Drosophila melanogaster: one gene and its partners. The protein of the gene in region 1 interacts with the protein of each later gene in a pairwise test. Each region holds a gene or a part of one and is shown in the gene's direction. Other genes may lie near its edges.

Region 1 (8,643 bases):
ATCAACTGCATCACCTCGTTCTCCAGATCGCCCACCGACGAGTTAAATGCCATGGCCATTTTGTGCATATCAGCTGACATATAGGGGCTAAAGTACTGGATTAGCGCGCGATTGCGTATCTTGGTATACAGAGTGGTTACATGGGGCGCAATGTACATGTCAACCAGCAGGTTGTCCCTAATCTCATCCAGAAGCGTCAGACATGAGGCGTATTTACTTTCGTAGAACTTGAAAATAATATCCCTGAGTTGGGGCTCCAGTTCTAAGAACAATTTAAAGGATGTAGAGGCGATGACCAGACGCTTAAGCTCCTGTCGATCAAAGGTGGCCAGGGCGCAGAGGCCACCATAGACCGCCACATTGCTGGTGGAGATCATTTCGGGAAAGTCGCAGTGATCGAAGTTAGCATTGAGGAAATGCTTAGCGGCCACCTTATATTTCTTTTGCTGCAGTTCCGCCAGACCAGCAGCGCATTCAAGGCGAGTATGAACCTGGGCATTAGCCTCCTTGGAGCCCTCGGCGAAGTCCGGGGTGCTTTCCGCCTTGGATATGTAGCTCATCACATGGGCCCAATTCTGGAGATAAATTGACACCTTGATCACGTTAAGGCACATGTTTACCACATGCTTGCCACTAGTGCAGTAGTCTCTGGCCCGAGAATAGCACTTCAGGGCATTGGTGAGGTCGCCACAACTGAGGTAGTGGTCAGCCAGGTCATCGTGGCCCCTCCGGATGCTCTCCTTGATCGAATTGGACTTGTAGTTCTTGAGGTCTGAGTCCAGTTTCTCCAGCTTAAGAGCCGCCTTCTTCATCTTGGTGTCTACCCAAGCGGCATCGTAGGCGAAGGCATCCTTTTCGACAGCGGGTTGAGCCTGTCCTTGAGCCTGAGCCACAGGTTGTGCCGCGATATCCGGAAGGGGAGCAGCTGCCAGGGGACCGGGAGCCGCTGCTCCTGCCTGATCTCCGCCAGCATTTGCTGGTGGCGCAGGCGCATTTCCAGCGTTTAGATCACTCAAGCGCTTGTGCAGCACTTGGTAGAGATTTACGTTGTAGGTGGTTTGAACGTAAGTAATGGCCATTTTCAGAGCCTCCACGGCTAAAACCGGGCAGACGTCCGCCACATAAATTAGGCGATGGAGCCGCACGATCCCGGCATATTGGTTGGCGTACACTTCGAGATCGATGCTGGGGTTCTCCACCACAATCTGCTGCTCCTCGTTGTTTTCGTTGTCCTCGTTCGGCGGCGCGATGTCCACTTGCATCGGCTCCACGGCGTTCTATTGTTGGAGTAATAAGCGATTTTTGCTGATTATATGGCTTCAGATAACGCATTTTTGGTTACTTTTTACCTGCATGAGTGGTGGCATCGGCAGCACGGGCATCCTGCTTCTATTTGCAACGAAAGTCCAGGGAAAATGAAAAATTTAAGCTACGTTTTTGTTTATTCGTCAATTAATTTTTCCGATTCGCAAATTATTTTACACCGATAATCTAGAGATGGACAATGTGAACAACGCTTTTGATCGATAGATGACAACTGTATGGTAGAAGACCATTTTCCACTTTTCCAACAAATAATATAACAAAAAATAACACTGATATCAGTTTAAAAATATTTAACAAAGATAGTTGGTTTTAGGCTAAGTTCCGATATCAAATACTTTTATAATCCGCGACTACAGGTCGTTATCAGACACTTTTCATTTAAAAAAATTATCAAAATGATAAAGTACCCAAACAAATTATTCTTGACATTTCATAATATATTATCATTTATCATCAGATATTTCATCATAAATATAATAATTTAGTGATCCTTTAAGAATAATAACTTAGTTTTCAGTTTTTTATGAATCCACATGTGTCCAATAAAATATTTTACAGAAAGAGCGATATTTGATATATCATAGAAAAACTATCACGATATAAATATTTACATTTATTTTAATATATCGATAAATTGATATATTTTTCCCATCCCTAATTTCAGAAGAAGAAGCGCACCACGCATTAGAAAACTTTCAATTGTTTGTGAAATTTATTAAATAAAGTAGATAATATTAATATAGAACTAAGCCACGATGTCCAACATAACGGCGGCGGTTATAGCCAACCGCAACAAAAAGCATTTCCTGGGCGTCCCAGCCCCATTGGGCTATGTTGCCGGCGTCGGTCGTGGGTAAGTACTACCAAACGCGCATCTCGCAAAGCAAAACTTAATGCTAATGGTATATTTTCTATTTTAGAGCGACAGGATTCACCACTCGGTCCGATATTGGTCCTGCCCGTGATGCAAACGATGTATCCGACGACCGCCATGCTCCGCCGGCCACCAAACGTAAGAAAAAAGACGAAGAGGAGGAGGAGGACGAAGACTTGAACGACTCAAACTATGACGAGTTTAGTGGTTACAGCGGCTCCCTGTTCTCCAAGGATCCGTACGACAAGGATGACGAGGAGGCGGACGCTATCTACGATTCGATAGACAAGCGAATGGACGAAAAGCGCAAAGAGTATCGTGATCGCCGGCTGCGTGAGGATTTGGAGCGGTACCGCCAGGAGCGACCGAAGATCCAGCAGCAGTTCAGTGACCTGAAACGCTCACTGGCCAGTGTCACATCGGAGGAGTGGTCCACGATTCCTGAAGTGGGCGACAGTCGAAACAGAAAGCAACGAAATCCAAGGGCCGAAAAGTTTACCCCTCTGCCGGACAGCTTGATATCCAGAAATCTTGGCGGCGAGTCGTCCTCTACGTTGGATCCGTCCTCGGGCTTGGCTTCTATGGTGCCTGGCGTAGCTACTCCAGGCATGCTGACACCTACGGGTGATCTTGATCTGCGAAAGATTGGCCAGGCTCGTAACACTCTTATGAACGTCAAGCTTTCGCAGGTTTCCGATTCCGTGACAGGCCAAACGGTGGTGGATCCCAAGGGCTATCTCACCGACCTGCAGAGTATGATTCCCACTTATGGTGGTGACATAAACGACATCAAGAAGGCTCGTTTGTTGCTCAAGAGTGTGAGGGAAACGAATCCTAACCATCCACCAGCTTGGATTGCCTCCGCCCGTTTGGAAGAAGTGACTGGCAAGGTTCAGATGGCGAGGAATCTGATAATGCGGGGCTGCGAAATGAACATCCAGTCTGAGGATCTCTGGCTGGAAGCAGCTCGCCTTCAGCCGCCAGATACAGCCAAAGCGGTGATCGCGCAAGCGGCTCGTCATATTCCTACCTCGGTCAGGATCTGGATTAAAGCCGCAGATCTGGAATCGGAGACCAAAGCTAAGCGTAGAGTTTTCAGAAAAGCTCTAGAGCATATTCCAAATTCAGTTCGTCTGTGGAAGGCGGCTGTGGAACTCGAGAATCCTGATGATGCACGGATTCTACTCTCTCGCGCCGTGGAGTGCTGCAACACCAGCGTTGAACTTTGGTTGGCTCTCGCCCGCTTGGAAACCTACGAGAACGCCCGAAAGGTTCTAAACAAGGCTCGCGAGAATATTCCCACTGATCGCCAGATTTGGACCACAGCTGCTAAGTTGGAGGAGGCCAATGGTAATATTCACATGGTGGAAAAGATCATTGATCGATCATTGACCTCGCTTACCGTCAACGGAGTGGAGATCAACCGTGATCAGTGGTTCCAGGAGGCCATCGAGGCGGAAAAATCAGGAGCAGTCAACTGTTGCCAATCCATTGTTAAGGCTGTCATTGGAATAGGAGTGGAGGAGGAGGATCGCAAGCAGACTTGGATTGATGATGCTGAATTCGTAAGTATTAAGAAACACTCATTTTTCAAATTTGTAACATTTTTGGAACAAAATAACCGTATTATATTTTCCCTCTTTCAGTGCGCAAAGGAAAATGCATTTGAGTGTGCTCGAGCTGTTTACGCTCATGCCCTCCAAATATTTCCCTCGAAGAAAAGCATCTGGTTGCGAGCCGCCTACTTTGAAAAGAACCATGGCACCCGCGAATCTTTGGAGGCCCTGTTGCAGCGAGCCGTGGCTCATTGTCCTAAATCGGAGATTCTCTGGCTGATGGGGGCCAAATCCAAATGGATGGCTGGAGACGTTCCAGCCGCGAGAGGCATTTTGTCCTTGGCTTTCCAGGCCAATCCCAATTCCGAGGACATTTGGTTGGCTGCCGTTAAGTTGGAATCAGAGAACTCGGAATATGAGCGGGCGAGACGCTTGTTAGCCAAGGCTAGAGGATCGGCACCGACACCAAGGGTGATGATGAAATCAGCTCGCCTGGAATGGGCTTTGGAAAAGTTCGACGAAGCTCTGCGGTTGCTGGAGGAGGCGGTGGAAGTGTTCCCAGATTTCCCCAAACTGTGGATGATGAAGGGTCAGATTGAGGAGCAGCAGAGACGGACAGATGATGCGGCTGCCACCTATACTCTGGGCTTGAAAAAGTGTCCTACGTCCATCCCACTTTGGATTCTTTCCGCCAATCTAGAAGAGCGCAAAGGAGTGCTGACGAAGGCTCGATCCATTCTGGAACGAGGACGTTTACGCAACCCCAAAGTGGCTGTGCTCTGGCTGGAGGCCATCAGGGTGGAGCTGCGTGCGGGCCTCAAGGAGATTGCCAGCACAATGATGGCAAGAGCACTGCAGGAATGTCCCAACGCTGGTGAGCTATGGGCGGAGGCTATCTTCATGGAAACCAAGCCGCAGCGAAAGACCAAGTCAGTGGATGCTCTCAAGAAATGCGAGCACGATCCACATGTGCTGCTAGCTGTATCAAAACTGTTCTGGTCTGAGCACAAGTTCTCTAAGTGCCGAGACTGGTTTAATCGAACTGTAAGTAATTTATACTACCTATTAAATGTAATAGAAACAAACATGTTCAGAGCTAATCATTTGTTTATTTCAGGTCAAGATCGATCCAGATCTAGGTGATGCTTGGGCATATTTCTACAAGTTCGAATTACTCCACGGCACGGAGGCGCAGCAGCAGGAGGTCCTCGATCGGTGCATTTCTGCAGAGCCCACGCACGGCGAGTCCTGGTGTCGGGTCAGCAAGAACATCCAGAACTGGCAGTTCAAGACACCTGAGGTGCTGCGTGCTGTTGTCCGGGAGCTATCCATACCCATCTAAGTTTTAAGTGTGTTTGGATTAAACGCGTGGAGCCTAGCGCTGCACTTCTCTATAGCCTTTAATTATGCGATAAACTTGTTTGAAGTGTCTGAAGATAAACTCGAAAAGAAACAGGACAAAACTGACAGCAGCTCCACACCCAAAGATCCCCAAAGCATACCGGCATTCTGTAATGCCAATGGAGACAAATCCGCCAACTCCGCCCTCGCATTTGGGCTTCTGAGGAATCCACTTTCGCTCCTCGCGATTCACCAAGCTTACTTCTCGCTGCCAGCGTAGTCTGTGGGTTAAAACAAAGTGTTTTATGATTTCCTCTTTTCGAACAAGTTATTGAATTGTAAATTATAAAAGGGTTTTTATCCCTGTAAAATTTTTAATTAGGCATATTTTGATTAGTTACACGTTTAAATTACTATTGGATTTTTAGTATAAAATTTAATAAATTACCTATTTTATTTAAATGTAAAATGCAATTGGAAAGCGAAACTATGTTTATATATAAAATATTCTTACTGCCTTCGAATGAGCTCCTTGTAAGGAAAGTTTTTCCTTGTTGGAATAGCTAGCATGGGCAGCTGAAAAGGCTCCAGTTCCATTAATCCGCACTTTTCCGGCTCGCTGAAGGTGTCGCTGACGATTTGGTAACCAGCCTGGAGTTCAACCTGGTATGCAAATAAGCCGGTTCGCATTTTCTCCATTCCTAGCAAGGGGCGCATATAGATATTTTCACCTTTGGACGCGATCTTTTTGTGGTAAAGATTCTTCGTTACGGGATCTGTGGACTCGGTGAAGTATATTTTATTATATTGCGTGTCCTGAACTCCGATTTCTAGAGGCGATTGTCCCAGATCAGACAATGACTGGATAGCATCCGACGGACTTTGCAGCAGGGCCACAATATTGGCCGAAAACGAGGTGAACAAGAAGAGAGCTGCAACAAATGTGGTGAAGACAATGATTCTCGCCGATCGGTTCCGCACCTCTACGTAGAAACCCTGCTGGCACATAGCACCCCAAACAAAATTTAGTGTATCCATGTAGGACATGTCGTGGTTGTGTGGCGAAAAGAAGAGTTCCAGAACCAAGACCACGGTCGTGATGATCAGTAGCATCAAAATGGACACCCACACATCGTTCTCAAAGGGCATAGCGAATATATTGGCCACTGCCGAGAGAGGTGGCTGCCGAAACATGATCCCAGCTCTCACTCGATAAGTCTCAGCCACAAAATCGACCAATGCAATACGATCCAATCTCATGAAGATCGCCAGCTGGGCCAAGTCCAGTTCATAGCGTTGAAAACGTCCCATGAGACCATCGAATGATCCATTTGGTTGTCGCCATCCGTAGTTCACTGTTTGGTAGGTATTGTAGCTGGAAATGGAAAGTGTTCGATCCTGTGTATTTATATATACTCAAGAACCATAATGTTTTTGATCTAAAAAGACAACAAGAGGAAATCCTTCTAACCTCATATTCAATCTATTGGCCAGCTCCAGCATTAAGCGATGATTAACCTTCGATATAGTGTCAATATGCCTCAGCGACAAATCTTCAATGTTAGTGAATAGATCCGGAAAGGCAATTACTATGGCCGAATTGAATACTATGCCCTCCAGATCCTGTCTATAAGTTATGGCCGAACCAAAGTGCTGCAGGGCATGAATGACGTGCCGCGAATTTCGAATGTTGTGCCCCACCAAGGTTCTTTTCAAAGGCTTCCAAGCAGCTACCTTGTATAGATCGATTAAACTGCAAGAGAAGTTGCCAACGTTTTCATAATGAAGGACCCGCAACTCACTATCCGGGGGAATGAATATTTCCGGATCCTCGAGTAAATCGATATCGCCTGGATCTTCGGTGAGGAGCAGCCAGAACCGGTTGGTGGTGAAGTAATTATGTTCCGAGGCCGCAGACCAGCGGAGTAGATTTAAGGCGCACTCGCTGCTGAACTCCAGCAGCAGGATGCCCATTTTGTATGGCAATGCGGGGAGCAGGAAGGACGTCTCCCAGTGGGTGGAGTTGTTGGCGTGGAAACTCTTCGGCGGTGGAGCGTCCTTATGTTCATCCAGGGCATCGACATGCTGCAGGTCCCTCAGCGAGCTCTCCGTGCTGACCTGCACATAGAAATTGTTGAGGTTGAAGTGCTGCCAAAGCTTCCAAAGGCGAAAATCCGCTAGAGGGGAAAAAACGAGTACAGAGAAAACAAAATTTAGTATTCGATTAATAGAGGTGTCTAGAAGTATGGAACGGTATATCTAATGTAAAAACTTTTGCTTATGTAAGTAGCATGGTTTTAATGTGCTCAGACCAACTTCAAATAATAAGGATTAAGTGAAATTAGGCCTTTGGCAAATTCAAACGTGAGATATGGATTTCCTAAGCTCATTTTGGCCAGTGTACTGTGGGGTCATAAATTTGTCCCCAGCAGCACATTGCATGCAGAGGGTTAATTCACCAATGTCCGTGTGACAAACGACCAGCATCAGGCTGTGAACGCCGTGGTGGCGATAGTAAGCGACTAGCATATCCGGCAACTGATTGCCCCACCGTGTTTTCGGGTCCGGATCCTGCCGGGAATATTCGCTCCGCCAGCTGCCAGCGACACGTGGTGTCCCACTGACGAGCAGGAAAAATATCAGAGGGAGCCAGTGCGCGACTTGAACTTTCATCACTGCGACTGCGAGTATTAACGAGTTGCTGTCCGTCCTTTCGCTTTTGCATTTCCCCGACGCGCTTTTTTTCACGGATTGGAGTCCCCGGCTTTTATAGCCAAAAGGGCAGTCGCCAGTAATTGCATTCAAGAATTGCATTAAAATTATGCATTGATTACACTCCGCTGCGCTTCCTTTCGGTCCACATCCACGTCCACATCCACGTGCACCCATCTGCTGTCATTACGCAGGGCAATCTTCGCGAGCAATTTTGCGACAACTGCAATTGGTCATCGATGGCGTTTAATTGGTCCGAGCAAGTGGCGCACAAATTGTCCGCGTGGAAGTGCGGACAAAGTCAATTACGTGTCAACGACGACCGGAACGGAGAAAGTTGCTTCGACATTCTAGACTTGGACTTGGCTTTGGGATAAGCACATAAGTTAGGGCCAAAAGGAATTGGAAAGTTTTGCAGAGGGTTTAATTTCGCCAATTTACTTGGTTCTATCGGTGAATTGGTTATTATACTATGAGAACAGTAATTGTTTTCAAATGTAGGTAAATAAATTACTCATAAATTACTTCATAAATTACCAGTTGTAATAAAAATATTCTTGATGATTTTTTTTGAATATTAGTAACTAAATTATTTAAAATTTTAATTTAATTTCGAATTCTCGCACAAGAGAAAATTAATCTTTCGCAGCCTCAAAAAGTTAGCTTTTAGAAAAGTTAAACATGCAAATTATTCCTTATAAATCTGACTTTAAATAAGCTAAAATCAGTTTAAGAGCCTGTATTTGGCCCGAAGGCATGAAGGCATTAGGAAGCAATTAAGAAAGCTGTTGCAAAAAGTAAGATGGCAAAATATAAGCAAATTTGATCAAGCGT
Region 2 (6,393 bases), 6.8 Mb from region 1:
GGACAAGGACTTTCTGATGAAACAGAAGTTCATGTACCAGATCCTGCAGCACATCTACCAGGACGATGTGTTCACCACGCCCTTCGGGGGCAGCTACGTGGAGTACAAGCCGTGGGAGCACGTGGCCGACTATGTGCACCCGGAGATGTTGGAGCACTTCTTCGAGCTGTGGCAACACCAACCCTTCACCGATGACATGGTGTGGTCGGTGATGTACGACAAGCACGAGGAGTATGTGGTGGGTCTGGTGCGTCTCTTCTACTTCGCCAAGAACTGGGAGACCTTCCAGCACGTCGTCTACTGGGCCCGCCAGCACGTAAACAAGCAGTTGTTCGTGTACGCCGTGACCATTGCCAGTTTGTTCCGTGATGATATGCAGGGAGTCGTCCTGCCGGCCCACTACGAGATCCACCCATGGAGCTACTTCGATAGCCAGGCACTGGAATGGGCTGAGCACTACAAAATGCACGGCTTCCATCATGTCAAGCAGATGGACAACATCTACAACGTGGTGATCCGTACGAACTATTCGAACGTGCACGGTTCCCTGAACTACGATCACGATTTGGCCTACTACCTGGAGGATGTTGGCTTCAATGCCTTCTACTACTACTTCAATCTGGACTATCCGTTCTGGACGAAGGGCGGCGAGGAGCATGTCCTTAACAAGGATCGTCGCGGTGAGCTCTACCTGTATGTCCACTGGCAATTGCTGGCCCGTTGGTACCTGGAGCGTCTGTCCCACGATCTCGGCGAGGTGCCCGCTTTCAACATGTATGTGCCAACCGAATCCGGCTATGCCAGTAACCTGCGCACCTACTACGGCGTACCCCAATGGCACCGGGAGAATCACCACAGCTTCTACCACGAGCACAACTACGAGCACATCGAGCATGTGGAGATGTACACGCAGCGTGTCATGGACTGGATCCACAAGAACGAGAAGTTCGATGTGGAGACCATCAATGTGCTGGGCAACATCATCCAGGGCAATGCGGACAGCGTGGACAAGAAGTTCTACGGCAGTCTTGACAAGCTGTACCGCTTCATTGTGAACGAGGGCCACCATTATGGCCATGGTGACGAGAGCTTCCCTGGCCTTTTCATGCACTACGACACCTCTATGCGCGATCCGATCTTCTACGAGGTATACAAGACCATTGTCAGCCACTACTGGCATCTGATGGAGACCTATCCGGAGTACCACAAGAAGGATTACGCCTTCGAGGGTGTCCACATCGATGCCGTCCACATGCCCGAAAGTCTGACCACCTACTTCGAGCACTTCGACTCGGACATCAGCAATGCCGTCAATGTGGAGCCCGCCGTTGAGGGATCCGCCGATCCGTTGTACACCTTCGGCAGGAACTCCCACTACAAGGGATCCAGCTATGTGATCAAGGCCCGCCAGCAGCGTCTCAACCACAAGCCCTTCGAGTTCACCCTGGACGTGACCTCGGACAAGGCTCAGGATGCCGTTGTGAAGGTCTTCATTGGACCCAAGTACGATGAGCACGGACACGAGATCCCACTGGAGCACAACTACCAGAACTTCTTCGAGCTGGAGCACTTCAAGGTGCATCTGGAGGCGGGCGTTAACCACATCAAGCGCGCCAGCGGTGACTTCTCCTTCTGGGTGAACGATCGCACCACCTACCTGGAGCTCTACCAGAAGCTGATGGACGCCACCAACAGTGACTACAAGTTCAAGCTGGATCAGTCGGAGGCCCATTGCGGCGTGCCCAACCGAATGATGCTGCCGCGCGGCAAGAAGGGCGGCCAGGTGTTCCAGTTCTTCTACATGGTCTACCCGTACCACCAGCCCGAGGTTGCCCAGTTCACTGGCTACGATCCGGTGGTCAGCTGCGGCGTGGGACACGGTTCCCGCTACGTGGACGCCCTGCCCTTCGGTTTCCCCTTCAACAGGCCGGTGAAGCATGACTACTACTTCGATGTCCACAACTTCAAGTTCGTCGACGTGAAGATCTTCCATCGCGACGAGCACACCAATGTGGTCTAGATCCTGGACCCAACGAATACGAACCCCAAAACGAACCAACGATATTGGATAGATTACATATGTTTTCCTTGTTATATCTTTGTCTGCATCCACTTACCCCATAGAGATCGTAATTTAACTCAATTTTTACCCAGCTTGTCAGTCCACCTTGTGACCATCGAACAATAAACGTATTCAACACAAGTCACTCTCTTTTCAATTTTTCAAAATATATTTTTGGTTTTCTAGTTATTTTCCTCTACTTACAGAATATATGTAAATAGAAGGAACAATAGAATAAAGGGCTTATTGATACTAGTTTTAAAGCCTACAGTTTTTAGCAGACGAATTTTCAAGTTAAAAATAGGCATTTTTATCTGGAATAAACACAATAGATTGTTAGATTTCTTAAATTACAATTTAATATTAAATGGTAAAATATGGTAACAAAAATATTTGCTTTATGCAAACCACGCTTGACATATTTCAGAATATGGTTTCAAATTGTATCATATTTTAAAAATATTAAAAGTTAAATTCAAAATATTTATAAATAATTAACCCTCACATTTTTTCTTTCACTGTATTAAGGTGCATTCCAGGGATGCGTACAACCACCTGCAGTTTGCCCCGTGAACGATAACTAGTTCGCTCATCTGCACCAATTGCTCGCATCCCTGGTCGCTAAAAAAACACACAAAGACTTGTTTTGTTGTTCTTCCCCAAAAATGAGCTCCTGGAAGGACAGTCTCACGAGCATTCCGGGCACGGTGGCGCAGTTGATTAACGAGAGCGCCAGCAACCTGTTACACGCCTCATCCACGCTGGGATCAACAGTTGGCCTTGGAGGCTCTGGCTCCACTGGATCTGGATCCGAGGCCGGAGGCTCCGAGGAAAGTGGTCCACAAGGTGCGGAGTACAGGGCGTTGCCCATTCCCGCGTCCTTGGTGCGCGAGCAATGGCGCCTAATCTTCACCAGCGATGCCAATATCCAGGATTTGCAGGCGGCCATCGCCCATTGCAGAGATCTCGTCCTGCTGAGCGAGGAACTCAGCGAGGAGCGTCGCTGGTTGGTGCGGCACCTGGTAGATTTGCGATACTCACTGCAGGAGCTGGAGGAGGCCCAGGAGCAGCATTCCCTATCGTCGGACATGGTAGTTATGAATGCCATACGTGCTGTGGTGGGTCATCATTTTGTGCCCCATCACCCGCATCATGGCAAACGGAATCGTCTGCAGGCAGCCGCCAAGAGGAACTACTGTGACCACTGCACCACCATTATTTGGAGTGTGGTGCAGAACTCGTACGTGTGCAGCGATTGCGGATTCCTGGTCCATCAGAAGTGCATCGATGGCGTGAAGAGGGTTTGTGCCCATGTCCTGGTTTCAGAGCGGCAGCATCCCATTTCGGAGATATGTCCAGAAATCGGACTCGCCTCCCAGGGATACAAGTGCGCCGAGTGCGGGACGATGCTAAATATAAGTAAGTTAAGGCTACTCTTTTGGTTCCGAATAATTAGACTCCTTCCTCGTAGAAAATACCTGGATTGAGCCGCGTCTATGCGACTATAGTGGATTGTACTACTGCCCTCGCTGCAACTGGAACGACAGTAACTTTATACCAGCCCGCATTATCCACAATTGGGACTTTTCGCCACGCAGAGTGTCGCGCACGGCGCTCCAAGAGATTAGGTTGTTCCTAAATAAACCGCTCATTCGCTTGGAGGAGGACAATCCCAAGCTGTTTGTGTTCGTAGAAAAATTGTGTGCGGTAAAGAAACTTCGCCAAAATCTGGTGCATATGCGCCACTATCTGGCTGCCTGCAAGATTGCCAGCGAGTTGAAGCTGGTGGATCAGCAACTGGGTGTCCGGCGACATCTGGCCCAGTCAAATGAGTTCTATTCCCTAAGTGATCTCAGCCAGGTGGAATCTGGAGCGCTGAGCGAATTTCTGCAAGGAGTTTTCAAGGCATTCAATGATCACATACGATCCTGCCCCATGTGCCTTGCCCAAGCGTACATTTGCGAGATTTGTAGCAACAACGAGGTGATCTTTCCCTTCGACGATGGCTGCATCAAGTGTGATCAGTGCAATTCCATCTTCCACCGAGTTTGCCTCACGCGCAAAAATATGATTTGCCCCAAATGCATTCGCATCCAAGAGCGGCGTCTTCAATTGGATCGCATGAAGAGCACCGAGGACGATGATGATGATGATGATGGAGTGGCCACCGATGATGACGTGACTGCCGCAGAATAACTGATCAAATCAGAGTTCATTGTGCTGTGTTGGTTTTTAATATGTTATCATATGTACATAAAATGTAACTATAAAATGTATAACTATATATGAACTTTTATTCTTAGATTTATCATAACTCTTTAGTTATCCTTTTTTCCATATTTTTCCCGCTTGTGGAATTTTCTGGGATTTATGCCATATGCCTTTAATCGATCGTCGGTTATTCCACTATTGTTATTTTGCTTGTTTTTCGCCTTAAAGTTGTTCGTTTTCTTAGCTGGGAAGGGTGCACTTGGCTTTTGGTTTGATTTCTTAAAGGGATTGGTGCCGTTAGCGTTTCTCGGTCCCTTTTTGTTTCCACCTTGATTTTTATGAATTGGTGGCAGTTCCTGCCTTTGTTGGGATTTCGATTGTGGCTTATTGAAAGGATTATTACCATTTGATTTTTCTGCTTTTGCAGGCGCACTTTCCGTAGTTTTAAATGGTTGGTTCGACTTTGTCTTTGCACTTTTATTTGCTTGATTTTGGGGTTTTTGGAATCCATTTTGCACGTTTTTAGGCTCTTTTTTGTTATTTTTTAAGGCATTATTGTTTTTCGTTTTCTCCGTGCTTTGTGGACTGTTTTTAGTTTCCTGATTTGCGTCATCTTTGCCCTTTTTAGAGGGAGTATCGACTTTTTTCTTAGAACTTTCTGCCTGGACATCTTCAGTAGATCCATCCGCTTCCTTTGGATCCTTGGAGTCACTTTCTTCTTTTAGAACCTTAGGAGCACTGGCTGCTGCTGCGGCAGCCTTACGTTTCAGGCGTTTCCTCTTTGATTTGGACAAACCTTCTGTCGAGACTTGACCATTTTCGGCTGGAGCTGTCGCTTCAGCTGGTGTCACTTCTGGTTTCTCTTCTGCTGGCTGCTCCTCATCGTCAGAACTGCATGAGAGTCAAGTTTTAATACACACCCGTTCGAAATCGAAATTTTATTGTAAGTTACTCACCCTTCTCCATAAAGACTCTTAAATATCTTTCGCTTAAGGTCTTCATTCTTGGCTTTCATCTTGTAGAGACGCTGCTCCTTTTTCTCTACGTGTTCCGGTCTGTTTTGGACAGCTTTCTTTAAGCTAGCCCACTGGTTAAGCTCCTTGTTCTTGGCCAGCAAGATCTATTCAACAGAAAATATAATATCATTGTTCAACTTTAACGAAGCTAATCGAAAATGTACCTCTTCTATCGTCAAACCGAAATCGTTTGGTGTGGTTTCCACATATTTAAATCGACACGGTTGATCCCCGATGATGTCCTCGCAATCCATTTGGTAGTACTCATCGATGTACTCACTGTACGTCTTTTCGTCCTCAGGATTGAATGCAGGCTTTTCCGCCTGGATCATTTCCATAAAGCGATTTCGTCTACCCTTTCGTCCTTTGCGACCACGAGTGTTTTCGATGAGCTCTTGTTGAAGTTGCTCCTTGGCCGTGGACGGATCGTAGTCGCAATCCATGTTGAAGTCGTCGTCCTCGCAGTGTCCTTCATAATCCTCACCGCCCCCATTGGCGTGCTGTCTAGGATCGTAGTTATCCCAATCTTCCAGCACCAATTCATCGATATCCGAGGGACATTCTGGTTTCTCCTCGCCTTCATCGACATTGTAGTACTCATCGTCGAAGAGCTCCTGCATTCGACGATCGTGGGCCGCCGGGTCAAAGTCCTCCTCGAGTTCTTCGTCCCGGAAACCAAGCTCATCGTTGCCAGTGACCGCTTTTAATTTGCGTATCTTTTCATCGATCTCCTTACGCTTCATTTCCTTGACCAGTTCCAACTCCTTCATCTTTTGCTGTTTCTCCTGATCCTTGCGCTCCTTCAGCTCCTTGCGTTTTTCTTTCCTCTTGTCATCCGTGCGACGCAGGGATTGTTCGATGGTGCGGGGATAGCGCTTTATGAAGTCCGCATCTGGCTCCTCAAAGCGGAAATTGTACTTGTGCTCAAACTCTGCCTGCTTCTCAAGTTCCTGCTCATCCTCGGAGAGCGGAGCAGCTTCGCCCACGATCTCATCGTAGGTGGGAATGGCGGACTCATCCGTGTTTGCATAGCCCTTGTTGAGAATGTAATCCCTGAGGAAACTCTCGCCCTGGGTCAGCTTGTTGCTGCTCCAGTACTGTTTT
Region 3 (8,397 bases), on another chromosome or scaffold:
AAGTATGGCAAGTTAAAGCAAAATCAACCTTTTTAATAATAATAATAATACTTATGATAATTTATTCCTTTTGTACTTCACGACTTTGTACAGGAAAGAATCCGAATAGCGAATATCAAAGATTGCAACAAAAACTCAATAACCTAGGGCTAGCCCTCGATCTTTCGATCTAGCCCCGCAACAGAGAAGAACACTATTTATATACAAAACAAACGTACCGTCTAAGACATTCGATTCTTGATTTCAACCTATGTATGTATGTATTTCGTTCGAGTCCATTCATTTCCGTTGAATCTGTTAAATTTCGAGTGCCAAATCAATGCACCATGCACTTCTTGAACCAGTAGACCGAAACTAAACGAGTTCCATGTTCCACTCACTCAATATTAGGGTTTTCGAAGAGGAGCTTTCCGGACCAACTACTTAAGATATAGTGCCACCCAACGGTCCTGCACCACGTAATATTTATCTATGCCTTTGTTCACCAGGACTCCCTCTACTCGCTTCAAAACATCAGAACCGAACACGATTTGTACATACACAACTTATACGTACATACTACCAAAGGTGTATATTTTTATGAACAAGACACTAGAAAAATGCAACTAAGGGAAACGAAACTCAGATACAAATGTAACAACTAATGAATAACATATCCTACCACACAGCTTAAAGTTGATATACAAAACGTAACGGAGCTCAGCGAGCCCACATTCATCGGATAGTTTCGATACCCGATCACCGATCGCCGATAACCAATTGCTAAAGTCCCGTTCCATGTTTTGCTTTCGTTAGTTACCAAGTTGGGTCAAACTTTGCTCATTTCCTTATGCGGACTACAGTGCTCATCGGCGAAAAGGGCTCTCAATTATCCGCTGAGTGTGCGCTCCGAAGAGTTACAATCCGTACTATCCGTACTATATGTACGGTCACCCACATAAATAGGCAATACCAATAACAAATGACAAATGTTACAGTACAGGCAATCCAGTAACTGCGGGCTGAAGCTGCTCGCTCTTCCACCTTTCGTTTCTTTCGATACCACCAAATTAAGATAAATGTTATGGGAATATGATAGTTTTAATAGATTTTCTACAGTTCCAATTTAAAGCGAATAACAACCAAGTCAACATAACGTGCAATATATATATTGATAAGTGTAAAGGGAAAACCAGAAGCTTCCGTTAACAAAAGTATGCATTTCACTACCACATATTGTTTCCGTACTTTTTTAATCCCTCGAACGGAGGATAAAATCCACTCCAAGGTCTATGCTCACTCAGAATCAGAAAAACTGGATAGGCAGAGGACGAACAAACCTAATCGCATCCACAAACACGCATAGACACGCACACAACAAAAAGAACCGGACAACAATAAGAGCAGCAATAAAAACGAAGATAAGGACGAAGAAGACCGTTCACTTAGGAGCCAAGCCTGATTATGAAAAAAAAAAAAACGAAATCGGAATAATCCGCATTTCATTGTTTTATTGATTCGAAATGGCTTTGGACGATTGTTTTCTTATTGATTGATTTTCCAGCTGAATATACCGGACCTAAGTTTTTGTTTATTTCATAAGACTGAATTACTGGAATATGATTTATTTAAACGTGTATATAATTAAGGTGTAATAGCGAACTTTACAACTTTTACTAATGAAACATCAAAATTTTTAAAGTTATTCCGAACTTATTTATTAAAAAAAAAAAAAAAATAGATGAAAGTGAGGAGAAGAAAAGAGGATACAAGTGATGAGAAAGTCGTGAGCGAATGAAGTTAATATGCAACTATTAATATACAATTTATATGGGAAAATCCCCATGTGAAAATGATGATATATATATATATATATATATATGTATATATATATTTCAATGGATCGATAAAAAGCAAATGAAATGAAAATGATGTTAAAATATAAGAAAACAAAACATTTTTTAATTCAATACTACTCTTGATTTGTTTTATGTGTTAATAACTTATTAAATGATATTTCTTGAGAATATTAAAAAATAAAATTGTTAGGATATTCAATTATGTTTATTTCAATGGGGGATCACGGAAGTCTCGGTTTTTGATAAGGCATCGAACAATTAAAAATTTCTATTAAAACATTCGTACATAATGTACTTTCCTTTCAGACTTAAAGGAGCGCATTTTATTGAAATAAATATTCTATTTCATGTTACTGCCGTCTTTCATTCTAATTTAATATTGAAAAAGGATATTGACATCAATTTTAGGTGAAGATATTGAACTTTTTAACATAAATAATTTGTAAATACAATTGAAAATTAAATTTTGTATAACATTATTATAAATAACAAAGTTAGCCTGTTGCTTTTACGATCCGTTACTTTTCAGATGTAATATAGCCATCTCACTCTAATTCGCTATATTGCTCTCTGGTGAGAGCGTCGACTTCGTTTTTCATTGAGATTTCAGTTTACTTCATTGGCTGTCCTTTATTTTATATCTGGAAAAATCTTCTGCATGATTTTCCTAATCTGAGCTCTTTTACGAGTAGGATATGTTGACCTTGATCAACACCAATTTCCAAAAAAAAGGAATTTAATGCACCCACTTATTTAAAAATGTTTCGATAATAACACAAAACATCAGTTTGCGATAAAATCGCAAAAACTAATCGATTTATCAAAATACTAAACAGAAAAAATACCAGCGCTTCGACAAGTCACTCCCCTGTAAACGGTCGCACTAATTGCAGATAGAAGAGAAAAGCTAACAAATCTTTGTGCCCGAAAATCAACTATTTGAAAGGTAATTAAAAGCAAGCTGCGTTGGCAGAAGTCTCCCCAAGTGGGCATAGGCGCAGTCCAACTGAGGGCTTCTTTTTCCCCTGGCCAGTTCTGAGTCATCCCGAAAATCGGGCCCCTTTTGAGACGTGTTCAAGCTGCGATAGGGGCGAATGTGTTGGTATTCGGATGATTCCGCCCCCAAGATGTGGTGTGGTGTTGTGAGGGGGGATTGCAATCAATAATCGCACTTCTTGTGCCGGAAACTCCACGTTCCCCTCTCTAAACTCAATCTCGATTCCAATTTCAGTACGCAGCTAGGAGCAGCAGCCACGATGACTGATTCCAAGTACTTCACCACCACCAAGAAGGGCGAGATCTTCGAGCTCAAGTCGGAGCTGAATAACGACAAGAAGGAGAAGAAGAAGGAGGCGGTGAAGAAGGTGATCGCCAGCATGACCGTGGGCAAAGACGTGTCCGCCCTCTTCCCGGACGTGGTCAACTGCATGCAGACGGACAACCTGGAGCTGAAGAAGCTGGTCTACCTTTATCTGATGAACTACGCCAAATCGCAGCCGGACATGGCCATCATGGCGGTTAATACGTTCGTGAAGGACTGCGAGGACTCCAATCCGCTTATCCGGGCGCTGGCCGTGCGCACCATGGGCTGCATTCGGGTGGACAAGATCACCGAGTACCTGTGCGAGCCGCTGCGCAAGTGCCTGAAGGACGAGGATCCGTATGTGCGCAAGACGGCCGCAGTGTGCGTGGCCAAGCTGTACGACATTTCAGCCACAATGGTGGAGGACCAAGGCTTTCTGGACCAACTGAAGGATCTGCTATCTGACTCGAATCCCATGGTGGTGGCCAATGCGGTGGCCGCTCTTAGCGAGATTAACGAGGCAAGTCAGTCCGGCCAGCCCCTCGTGGAGATGAACTCGGTCACCATTAACAAGCTGCTGACGGCGCTCAACGAGTGCACCGAGTGGGGCCAGGTCTTTATCCTGGACTCGCTGGCCAACTACAGCCCGAAGGATGAGCGCGAGGCGCAGTCCATCTGCGAGCGAATCACTCCGCGTCTGGCTCACGCCAACGCCGCCGTCGTTTTGAGCGCCGTCAAGGTGCTGATGAAGTTGCTCGAGATGCTGTCCAGCGACAGCGACTTTTGCGCCACGCTCACCAAGAAGCTGGCTCCGCCATTGGTTACGTTGCTCTCCTCAGAGCCGGAGGTGCAGTATGTGGCCCTGCGCAACATCAATCTGATTGTCCAGAAGCGGCCAGACATTCTCAAGCACGAAATGAAGGTGTTCTTCGTGAAATACAACGATCCCATTTACGTGAAACTGGAGAAGCTAGACATTATGATCCGCCTGGCCAACCAGAGCAACATCGCCCAGGTGCTTAGCGAGCTGAAGGAGTACGCCACCGAGGTGGACGTGGATTTTGTGCGCAAGGCAGTCCGCGCCATCGGGCGATGCGCCATTAAGGTGGAGCCCTCAGCCGAACGCTGCGTGTCCACGCTGCTTGATCTTATCCAGACCAAGGTCAACTACGTGGTGCAGGAGGCCATTGTGGTCATCAAGGACATCTTCCGCAAGTACCCCAACAAGTACGAGAGCATTATCAGCACGCTGTGCGAGAATCTGGACACTCTGGACGAGCCGGAGGCACGCGCATCAATGGTTTGGATCATTGGCGAGTACGCAGAGCGCATTGACAACGCGGACGAGCTGCTTGACAGCTTCCTTGAAGGATTCCAGGTAAGTTTTTCTCTGGATTTGCCAACATTATCAGGACTTTGAATTGCTATTTTCTCTTTCGCCAGGATGAAAATGCACAGGTGCAGTTGCAGCTGCTGACGGCCGTGGTTAAGTTGTTCCTCAAGCGCCCGTCGGACACCCAGGAGCTGGTGCAGCACGTACTATCATTGGCTACCCAGGATTCGGACAACCCCGATCTGCGTGACCGTGGCTTCATCTACTGGCGTCTCCTGTCCACGGACCCGGCCGCCGCCAAGGAGGTGGTGCTGGCCGATAAGCCACTCATCTCAGAGGAGACCGACCTTTTGGAGCCGACATTGCTGGACGAGCTCATCTGCCACATTAGCTCGCTGGCCAGCGTTTATCATAAGCCTCCCACCGCGTTCGTGGAGGGTCGCGGAGCCGGTGTGCGCAAGTCGCTGCCCAACCGAGCCGCTGGATCTGCAGCTGGTGCAGAGCAAGCAGAAAACGCAGCCGGCTCAGAGGCAATGGTCATTCCCAACCAGGAGTCGCTCATTGGAGATCTGCTCTCCATGGATATCAACGCACCCGCCATGCCATCTGCTCCGGCCGCCACCAGCAATGTGGACCTTCTGGGCGGCGGTCTTGATATACTCCTCGGTGGACCGCCAGCAGAGGCGGCTCCCGGCGGTGCCACCAGCCTGCTAGGCGACATTTTTGGACTGGGCGGAGCAACGCTATCGGTGGGTGTTCAGATTCCCAAGGTCACATGGCTGCCAGCGGAGAAGGGCAAGGGACTCGAAATACAAGGAACGTTCTCACGCCGCAACGGCGAGGTGTTCATGGACATGACTCTGACCAACAAAGCCATGCAGCCGATGACTAACTTCGCCATCCAACTGAACAAGAACAGCTTCGGCCTGGTGCCCGCGTCGCCCATGCAGGCTGCTCCCCTTCCACCCAACCAATCGATCGAGGTCAGCATGGCCTTGGGCACCAACGGACCCATTCAGCGCATGGAGCCGCTCAACAACTTGCAGGTGGCCGTGAAGAACAACATCGACATCTTCTACTTCGCGTGCCTGGTGCACGGCAACGTGCTGTTCGCCGAGGATGGGCAGTTGGACAAGCGCGTGTTCCTCAACACCTGGAAGGAGATCCCCGCCGCCAACGAACTGCAGTACACCCTGAGCGGTGTAATTGGCACTACCGACGGCATCGCCTCCAAGATGACCACCAACAACATCTTCACCATCGCCAAGCGTAACGTCGAGGGCCAGGACATGCTCTACCAGTCACTCAAGCTGACCAACAACATTTGGGTGCTGCTGGAGCTAAAGCTGCAGCCGGGCAATCCGGAAGCCACTCTCAGCCTCAAATCGCGCTCCGTGGAGGTGGCCAACATAATCTTCGCCGCCTACGAGGCCATCATCCGTTCTCCATAAGCGTTCCATGGCGCACATCCGATGGCATAGGATAAGCACAAAGCAATTGGAGCTATCGATTTGCGTGTGTTGAAGATTAGCTCAACAATAAGTTGTAAATTTACGTATTATTATTATATTGTGTATTGGCCGAATCGCCACCTACATATATTATTTATGCATATGCACACATATAAAATCCAATCGGGTTCGTCGAGAGATCTGTTAATTGTTAATCGGAGCTGCTTGTCACTCAGTGTACTAACGTGTAATAGCAACGTTGCATAACCGCATTCCAAAACTCTGTAACCCCATATGTCCTATGGTCGGCATCTATGTATATGTTTGTGTCCTAGTAAAATGCGAAACACTAAATAATTGTGACATTGTTTTCCTCGACGGCAGTTGCACTAAGCACAGTTTCTATTCGCTTTCAATGGTCATTTCTACAAGGTTCCAAATACGCATGATTATGATTTATGATTTTAGTATTATAATTAAAACTGTGTATTATAATATTTGTCCGTTCGTAAGCCTGAAAGATTTTTATACTTTCAGCTCAAAGTCAAAGTGCATCAAAGTAAGTTTTCTAAGTCGAAGATCTGAGAAAATAATTGCATCAGTTAGGTTAAAAGTCAATATATTGATCAATATTTAGGATCATTAAAATCCAAAACTAGGCTTGAAACTCAAAAGTTAGATTTGAAATATCATATTTACTTGAAAATTCGTTAAGGAGAAAGAGGTTTTCCTGCTGCAAATATAGAATCCATCAGATAGGAGTTGCAAAGCGCTTTTCCCGCGCAGATCAACTTTGCGTCAAACTATGGCCACGCCCACATTGGCCCACGTATGTAAGTGGAGCATTCTGTAGCGATTTGTACAGACACCCAAAGCTATCGAAGCTACCGAGGAGTCAAACCATATCCCAAAGCTTTGCTTCCATGTTTACAGGGATAACCATGTTGTATGCAAAGGATATACATATATATATATATATAATGGATTCCCAACTGATCATGCTGGTCAGTGGAAAGATTGCAGCAATTGGTACTAACTGAGGCACCCACTTAGCAATGGTTGTAATGGGCTCATCAAGACAGCAGTGGACCAGTTAAGGGTATAAGCGGAATGTGGTATACCTGGTCAGGGATGCGAAGGATGGGTGGTGGCGTCGAGCTTCGGCGCCTGAGCTTTCGAAGCTTTCGCGCGAACCCTTCGGGGGTTGTTTGGATGCCTGTGCGACCAACGAGAGCGCAAGAGAGGACAGGCTTGCCCATCGAGGACGTGGACGTGTAGCCATCCCTGTCGTGGCCACAGGACACACTGACTGTTTGCCTGCTCCACTGTTTTCCTGTTGTACCACAAGCTATTCTGGCTTGGCCCCGATTGTAACGAATCCGTATCGCACGTCGCAGTGCGAAAATGTGTGCAAATACTGCAATGTACCCGCAGTAAATTGGCCGCAGGATCGCTTGACACTCGCTGCAAAAGGACATCCAGGTGCTACGCCCTATTTCGCAGTCAATCCAGCCAGGTGGTAGTATAGGTGTACAGGCATAGGTGTAACCAACCATGCCCCTGCGAACGGTGCAGGAATGCGGAGTCCTTTTGTGCCAGTGAAGAGCAACCAACACGAAACAACGCCACGAAGAGGACAATCCGCCAGTGCTGTGTAGAAGAACAAGAACCAGAACAACAAGGACAAGACCAAGAGCATCGAGTACACCAGATCGCAGATTCCGTTGAGAAGGGTCCGCCAAAAATTAGTCCGCCGGAATGAGGGTGGCGGCGGACATGGTGTATGACTACGGCAGCGAGGACTCCATGAGCACCACCCACCTGGACTGGCCCTTTCTCATCAAGGTTCGTATCAGCAGCCCCTCGCAACCGCCCTTGTCCATCAACCCCTCTTCCCAAACCCTCGACATATTTGCACGCTTTTTAGGTTAAGTCGAGACTACAATATGCAAAGTGTCGAGTATAATGTGTATAAGTGGGGTTTGTGTGTCAACAGCTTTGTCACTGCGAGGACGCGAATGTATGTAGAGCTTCATGTGCATCCCTGTCAGGCTCCCGAAGGCTTATTCCACCTTGTAATCGGATCTGGGGAGGGTAAAACTCCGCCAGCTGTAAACAATCCGTAGTCCCTTTAAATACAATATGTGTACATCCTTAGATCATATTTCGTATTATTTTATAGGTTGCTCATTGCTTATGTTTCTATGTTTATACTTTCTAAACTATGCTTGATATAGAACTACTATGAACTACTACTACTACTTCAACTATAATCCTTAATTGATATTCTAATGTAAATTTAGTCAAATAGGGTTTTTTTAGGAGAGAGTTCTTTTCGTCAAGTTCTTTAAGGATTATAACGATTCCTTTTCCCCTTTTAATTAATTCTATAGCGATTTCATTGGATAATATTCAATATGAAATATTACAGAACTTATAGGCTTTAAGTTAATCAGTCCCGCTGATTCCAAC
Region 4 (6,717 bases), on another chromosome or scaffold:
CAGCGCATGATTAATTACCCATTAACGCGATTGCTGACAGAAGCGGATAGTCAGCGTGATAGAAAAAACCAATAATAATTAGTTTTTTATTCGTTTAATCGATCATTATGTTTTTGATTGTCTTAGAAACAATGTTGATTTCTGCATAGGCGATCATTAAACGGTTTAGTTTCTTCAAAACCAAGCTTGTTAAACAAACAATTTATTAGTTTCTTTGTTTTATTTTGGTTTTGCCAAACATTGTACTTACTCAAATTACTCAAAAAGACATAACATCATTTCTTATGTCAATGAAGACACTCCACTGAATATTTACCAATAAAAAGTATCTACTGGATAAACATTTTAATATCGAATAAACGCATAGATTTTGAGTGTGGCCTGTTTTCAAATTGTGCAGATTTTCTAGGAAGCAACGTTGCTTTTAATATGTCCATAAATAAATATTTATAGCGGCTCCACTTATAGGAAACTTCACGATCTGCACGGCAGGTTGGTTCGATTGGAGGTGAATGAACGGGTCGAGTTGCGGCCAAGTGATTAACGTTGACAGATAGATGTGGCAAGAAAAGGGGCATGAAAAGGGGTCGCGGGATGCGATGAGATGGGATGGGATGGTGTAACTATGTATTGGCCAAGTGGTTACCTAACGCTTTCCACTCGCTCTGCTGTCCACCGTTCCAGATGCGGATGTGCTCAACGATGTGGCTGCAGATGACGCTGGGACTGGCCCTGCTGGGTGCTGTGTCATTGCAGCAACTGCAGTCGTTTCCCAAGCTCTGCGATGTGCAAAACTTCGACGACTTCCTCCGGCAGACGGGCAAGGTGTACTCGGATGAGGAGCGAGTCTATCGCGAGAGCATCTTCGCGGCCAAGATGTCGCTGATCACGCTGAGCAATAAGAACGCCGACAACGGCGTGTCCGGATTCCGGCTGGGCGTCAATACGCTGGCCGACATGACCAGAAAGGAGATAGCCACCTTGCTGGGCTCCAAAATCTCCGAATTTGGCGAGTAAGTAGCACCATCTTACGCATATCTAGAGCTCGGGGGAAGTCCCCTTTTTGGCCATAAACGAATTATCACCCAGCTTATAACTTTCAAACGGGTTTCGGTATCGTCGTCCATATGATTTGTAACGTTACGTAGGTGCCGATTGGTTTCCCGGTTATGCTAATCAAGAAATCAGAATTGATCAAATATTCCGACCATAGGTTTGTGGTTTCCCGAAAACTATAACCAAATGGGTGGAAACAAACAAAACCCTTCCATATCGAACTTATTTATTACGACGAAGCTCCATAACAAATGTTTCATAACTTATCGGTTGTTTGTCATACATTTAAGAACATTATGAATAACATTTAAATGTAGTCTGGTTGCCACTTAAGTAAGCTACTAATTTGCTTTAATCTTTGCTTAACGGAATACTAAAATGTTTTACTTACCTTGCAGGAGATATACGAATGGCCATATCAACTTTGTGACTGCCAGGAATCCGGCGAGTGCCAATCTTCCCGAGATGTTCGATTGGCGCGAGAAGGGCGGAGTGACGCCACCGGGATTCCAGGGTGTGGGATGCGGTGCCTGCTGGTCGTTCGCCACCACAGGAGCGCTCGAAGGACATCTATTCCGGCGGACTGGAGTGCTGGCCTCGCTGTCGCAGCAGAATCTGGTGGACTGTGCCGATGACTACGGCAACATGGGCTGTGACGGTGGCTTCCAGGAGTACGGTTTCGAGTACATACGCGATCACGGTGTAACGCTGGCCAACAAATATCCGTACACACAGACGGAGATGCAGTGCCGTCAGAACGAAACCGCCGGACGTCCACCGCGCGAGAGTCTGGTGAAAATTCGCGATTATGCCACCATTACTCCCGGGGATGAGGAGAAGATGAAGGAGGTGATTGCCACGTTGGGACCGTTGGCGTGCTCCATGAACGCGGACACCATTTCGTTTGAGCAGTACAGCGGTGGCATCTACGAGGACGAGGAGTGCAATCAGGGCGAACTGAATCACTCGGTAACCGTGGTGGGCTATGGAACGGAAAATGGACGCGACTACTGGATCATCAAGAACTCGTACTCTCAGAATTGGGGCGAGGGCGGCTTTATGCGCATCCTCCGGAATGCAGGTGGATTCTGCGGCATCGCCAGCGAGTGCAGCTACCCCATTCTGTAGGCTCACAACTGCGCCATGCAATTAGTTAGATAGTATAGTCAATTAAAAACCACGAATTTATAACTTTGTTACTGTAGTCGTAAGCTGTGTGGGTCACCACATCGATTCCATGAGTCACGCGGTTAATAAATGAAACAAGTGCCTTATCGGTTTGTGTTGCTTTCTGGGGAAATTCTGAGAAATTGGATCGTAGTCTTAACGGCTATGCACACAAAAATTAATTTTCGGTCTTATTTATTTTTTGAGAAACATTTTCTTAATGAAGAACAACGCTGTGTGGGAAGTTGTTTGAGAAAGTAATAAATTTCAATTTGGCAAAGTGGATAGAAAATGAACAATGCACACATAACCGTATAACCGTGTAAATTTGCGACAAATTTAATATAAACAAGAAATAACGCTACAGTCGGGTGTCACGACTAATGCATACCCGTTAATCAGAAAAAGCTGCAAGCAGCGTAACGTTTGTTTACAGCATTTGTGTGGAAAACACATACATATCTAGAATGTAGTTGTTACATTCCTATCAACGAGCCTAGTATTCCCGCCGAGTAATGGGTATAAAAACGGGGCTTAAATTTCAAATTAATTTAATTCAATACTATTGCAACAAATCATAAAGCAATTATGCCAGTTGTTATATATTTGGTGGGCAAGGTCACGTAAATGCAGTTACTCTTTTAAAAGATCAACACTTAAGAGAAAAGAGAGCAAAAGAAATCGCTCTCGTTGTCGGTTTTTATTTAGATTTCTCTCTGAATGCAGCTGATTTTGAGTACTTGCAATTATATATGTATGTATTCCCCATATAATTCGCGATTCTGGCAGTGCGGAGCGCAGTACGAGAAAAGTGTTCAAGATGACCTCAGCTCGAATTTTACTTGGCGTCCCACTGCTCCTGTATTTGATGGGCGTGGCTCTGGGCGTACCAGTAAGCACATCATCACCTGCTACACAAAAAATCAATCCAGAGATTGGGGTTACTACTGGGAAAAGCGACGCTGACTCATCGACACCCACAATTGAACACACCTCTGGCTTATCTGAGTTCGAGGAGGAATGCCAGTTTGCATGGCAAAGGTTCTTGGTAAGTTTTTTGATCGCATAATTCCAAGAAAGGGTATCGTTCAAGGAAGTTATTTGTATACACTCCAAGGTCGACTTTGATGTACACTACGATAATGACTACGAACGGCAAAAGCGACGTGATATATTCTGCGAAAATTGGCAAAAAGTTCGCGATCACAATTTGAAATACGATTTGGGAGTTGTCAGCTTCAAGAAGGGTATCAACCAGTGGAGTGATCTTACCTTTGAAGAGTGGAAAGAGAAACAAACTCCCAAAGTTATGCCAGAAATCGCTAGTGAATCATCAAAGGAGGAGCGAGACAAAGTCAATTGCCAGGCTGCATGGGAAAAGTTTTTGGTAAGATTAGCTAGGTTATTAAAACCAACTTGGTATTAATATGTATGATATGAATTACAGATTGACTTTGGAGCGCAGTATAAGAATGCAAATGAAACCGAGAAACGCCGCAATGTATTTTGTGCAAACTGGAGGGCGATTGTGGAGCACAATGTGCAGTATGAAAAGTGGGCAGAGCCCTTCAAGAGGGACATAAATCAGTGGACTGATCATACTATTGAGGAACGATCTAGTCCTGCTCCCGAGATTCGTAAGGAAGAAGCCACTACATCTACATCCGAAATAGATAATGATAATATCATATGCCAGCCGGCTTGGGAGAAGTTCCTGGTAAGATATGGTTGGGTATTTAAAGAATTTTTATTAAAGTTGCTTTTATCAATTGCAGATTGACTTTAAGCCGTCTTATCAAGATGATACTGAAACCGAAAAGCGACGAAATGTATTTTGCGACAACTTTAAGTCGATACATAAGCACAATGTTCAATTCGATTTGGGAAATATTTCTTTTAAGAAGGGTATAAATCAGTGGAGTGATTTGACCGTTGAGGAGTGGAAAAACAAACAACGACCTGCTTTTAATCCAGAGTTTTCTAAAGTTGAAGCTACTACAAAAATATCTAAGGATAAGAGGGATGATAATACATGTCAGGCAGCATGGAAAAAGTTTTTGGTAATATTTGGCTTGCAATGTAAATAGAATTTGAGAATTTGAATGAATATATCTTTATTACAGATTGATTTCGGTGCGAAATATCAAGATGAAAAAGAAACAGAAAAACGCCGAACTATATTTTGCGACAATTGGAAAGCGATTCAGGAACACAATGAGCAGTTCGAATTGGGAGTGGAATCTTTCAAGAAGGGCATAAATCAGTGGAGTGATCTAACTGTAGAAGAGTGGAAAACCAAACAACGACCTAATTTAGCTCCAGAGTTTTCAAAAGAAGAAACGACTACAAAAATAAGCAAGGAGAAGAAATACAAAAAAAATGTTTTTTAAAAACTAGATGATAAGATATTGTACCGAGTACATTTTCAGATGAAATGTTTGTCACCTTTTAAATACACGCAAAAATATTGCTACTAACGCAAAGAGAATACCTTAGTGATTTTGGGTTAATTTTTAAAAATATGTATTTATTATTATTTCTTGAGGGGCTGTCCAGTTGAGAATCTTGCTTGAGGAGTTTATCTATTACAATAGTGTTTCGCAAATGTTCAAGCCGATTTTATGGCTGGGTTCGCTATTTAAATCGATCATTAAGTTTTAAATGAGTAAATTTTGTTTTATGTTTCTTTCACTACCTTTTTGTTTTATAACGCACACGAACTCTAAATGATTAATTTATACTTGTATATTTGCTGAGATCCCTATCTCCTTGTTGCATTTAACAGGGCGCATTATTCGTATTACACATACAATCCGTAAATATATATAATATATATGTATATAGTATTTAATTTAACAAATACATTTGTAGGTTATCGCAAGTTGCTGCACTAAGTGAACGTTTTTATGTAATCAATATGTTTACATTCATTGATATCTGAGTACATCGAAGTGGACAACACACCGCTTCTTTACAATGCATAATGGGTATTGTTGGGGCATTTATAGTTACTATACAAATCTTTTGGTAGGAAGGGGGTGGCAACAGTAAGCCTTGAACAAGCCCTATACCATTTCATATCTTCAGCGTGTTTTTGCGAACCATAACTAGAAATATTCCTGCAGTAATCTCCCGAGTACTGAATCCCTCACAACAATTCTACGGTTATTGAATCTCTTATGGTTTAGAATTTACATATTGTTTGGCGTTTATTGTAAGTGGTTGCATTTGCTGCTCATCTAACCAAGCATCGACCCTGGCCACAGGTTCTATATTTGTTGGGTAAATCTCAGATGGTAAATTGGATATGTGGCTTGAGCAGTGTGGTTCGTACATATGTATGTCCTTCAGGTGGCCGAATCGCATCAACTATTTGCATCAACTATTTGCACTGCACGTGTGTAAATTTATCTAAAAAAACATCATGTTTTCCTCTGTCTCGAGCTATTGCCATTGCTAACAAGCTGATCATCGGGGGGACCAGGGTCTGGCACCAAAACAAATCAATTCAAATCAATTCAAATGGTACGTACACGTAAACACTAAATAACTAACAACGTTGAAAGCGCGGTCTGCATGTATACATATGGGATATATAACTAGTTGTATATCTGTATAATATATATATATATATATATATATATATATATTGCAACAAATTTCCACTACAAAAAACTGCACACTCAACTTAAAGGGCTAGCTTACGAGTTATTCAAACTACTCCTTATCCGAACCATCCCATCTCATCCCATCCGATCTCATATCGGATCGGATCGGTTTGGATATATCCCTTGACTCTTCCAATAGCTAAAGCCAGTGCTTGGATTGGTTTCAGCTGCTTTTGCTGCCTGCTTGTTGCATCAAGTGTTATTGTTTTGGTTACTCTTGTTATATGTTCGACATCGGTGTATATGGTTAAAGCCAACTTGTGTGTTGTAGCTGTTTAGTCGTGTAAATCCTTGCCAGTTGCACTACAAAATCGAAGTGAGTGTGTGCGGACAACGGAGGAGCAAGTGTGGTAATTCCTTAATAGGTGGGCTGCTGGTACTCCATTCCGGATTGTTGCTGCTCCATGCCACCTGCGGGAGAAAAACTCAGATTAATCAGGTGCCAAGTGTGGGAGAATCATCAGATTACATATTATAATGGTTAACATCAGTTAAGAACTAAGAATGATTAGGTACTTTCAATATATTGTACATAATGATCTAGGAATGGCAAGTTTATATCCCATCTTATATCCCAACTTATACTTTGGCATTGTATTAGACCATGAACTTACCCTGCTGGGGCTGGCCAAATGGTGAGGCGCTGTACTGGTCGTTGTCGTTGTCCATGGAGTAGCCGTAGGCCTGCTGGTGGACCACGTTGGCGGGATCCGTTTCGAAGGCAGAGGTGAACTCATCGCCGGCGCCGATCAGGAAACGCTTGTAAGCCATCAGGGCGCACAGAGCCTGCAGAAAGAAGCCCAAAAATCAGGAAACTTCTCCAACC

What was found.
Region 2: the proteins of Prp6 (region 1) and DEF8 interact in a two-hybrid assay, tested with the Drosophila melanogaster proteins (one large-scale study listed by BioGRID).
Region 3: the proteins of Prp6 (region 1) and AP-1-2beta interact in a two-hybrid assay, tested with the Drosophila melanogaster proteins (one large-scale study listed by BioGRID).
Region 4: the proteins of Prp6 (region 1) and CG6357 interact in a two-hybrid assay, tested with the Drosophila melanogaster proteins (one large-scale study listed by BioGRID).

What each region holds. Positions count from the first base shown.
Region 1 is NT_037436.4:18,903,413-18,912,055, forward strand, and holds Prp6 (pre-mRNA processing factor 6), read left to right. Parts: upstream 1-1,959; 5' UTR 1,960-2,081; coding exon 2,082-2,179; intron 2,180-2,246; coding exon 2,247-3,765; intron 3,766-3,846; coding exon 3,847-4,800; intron 4,801-4,847; exon of another isoform or gene 4,848-4,873; coding exon 4,874-5,098; 3' UTR 5,099-5,131; coding exon of another isoform or gene 5,132-5,378; 3' UTR 5,379-5,562; downstream 5,563-8,643. Other genes in the region: CSN1b (COP9 signalosome subunit 1b), read right to left, coding at 1-1,277, 1,350-1,382; Ir75d (ionotropic receptor 75d), read right to left, coding at 5,132-5,378, 5,612-6,472, 6,569-7,274, 7,557-7,770.
Region 2 is NT_037436.4:12,129,496-12,135,888, forward strand, and holds DEF8 (differentially expressed in FDCP 8 homolog), read left to right. Parts: upstream 1-2,650; 5' UTR 2,651-2,727; coding exon 2,728-3,481; exon of another isoform or gene 3,482-3,533; coding exon 3,534-4,258; 3' UTR 4,259-4,339; downstream 4,340-6,393. Other genes in the region: Lsp2 (larval serum protein 2), read left to right, coding at 1-2,020; CG5645 (uncharacterized protein), read right to left, coding at 4,381-5,164, 5,230-5,393, 5,454-6,393.
Region 3 is NC_004354.4:19,728,306-19,736,702, forward strand, and holds AP-1-2beta (adaptor protein complex 1/2, beta subunit), read left to right. Parts: upstream 1-2,698; 5' UTR 2,699-2,784; intron 2,785-3,069; 5' UTR 3,070-3,094; coding exon 3,095-4,519; intron 4,520-4,584; coding exon 4,585-5,925; 3' UTR 5,926-6,276; downstream 6,277-8,397. Other genes in the region: CG14234 (uncharacterized protein), read left to right, coding at 7,684-7,770.
Region 4 is NT_033778.4:13,837,035-13,843,751, forward strand, and holds CG6357 (uncharacterized protein), read left to right. Parts: upstream 1-3,018; 5' UTR 3,019-3,043; coding exon 3,044-3,271; intron 3,272-3,340; coding exon 3,341-3,610; intron 3,611-3,670; coding exon 3,671-3,940; intron 3,941-3,998; coding exon 3,999-4,283; intron 4,284-4,346; coding exon 4,347-4,613; 3' UTR 4,614-4,709; downstream 4,710-6,717. Other genes in the region: CtsL2 (cathepsin L2), read left to right, coding at 685-1,013, 1,455-2,184; Syngr (synaptogyrin), read right to left, coding at 6,250-6,302, 6,506-6,677.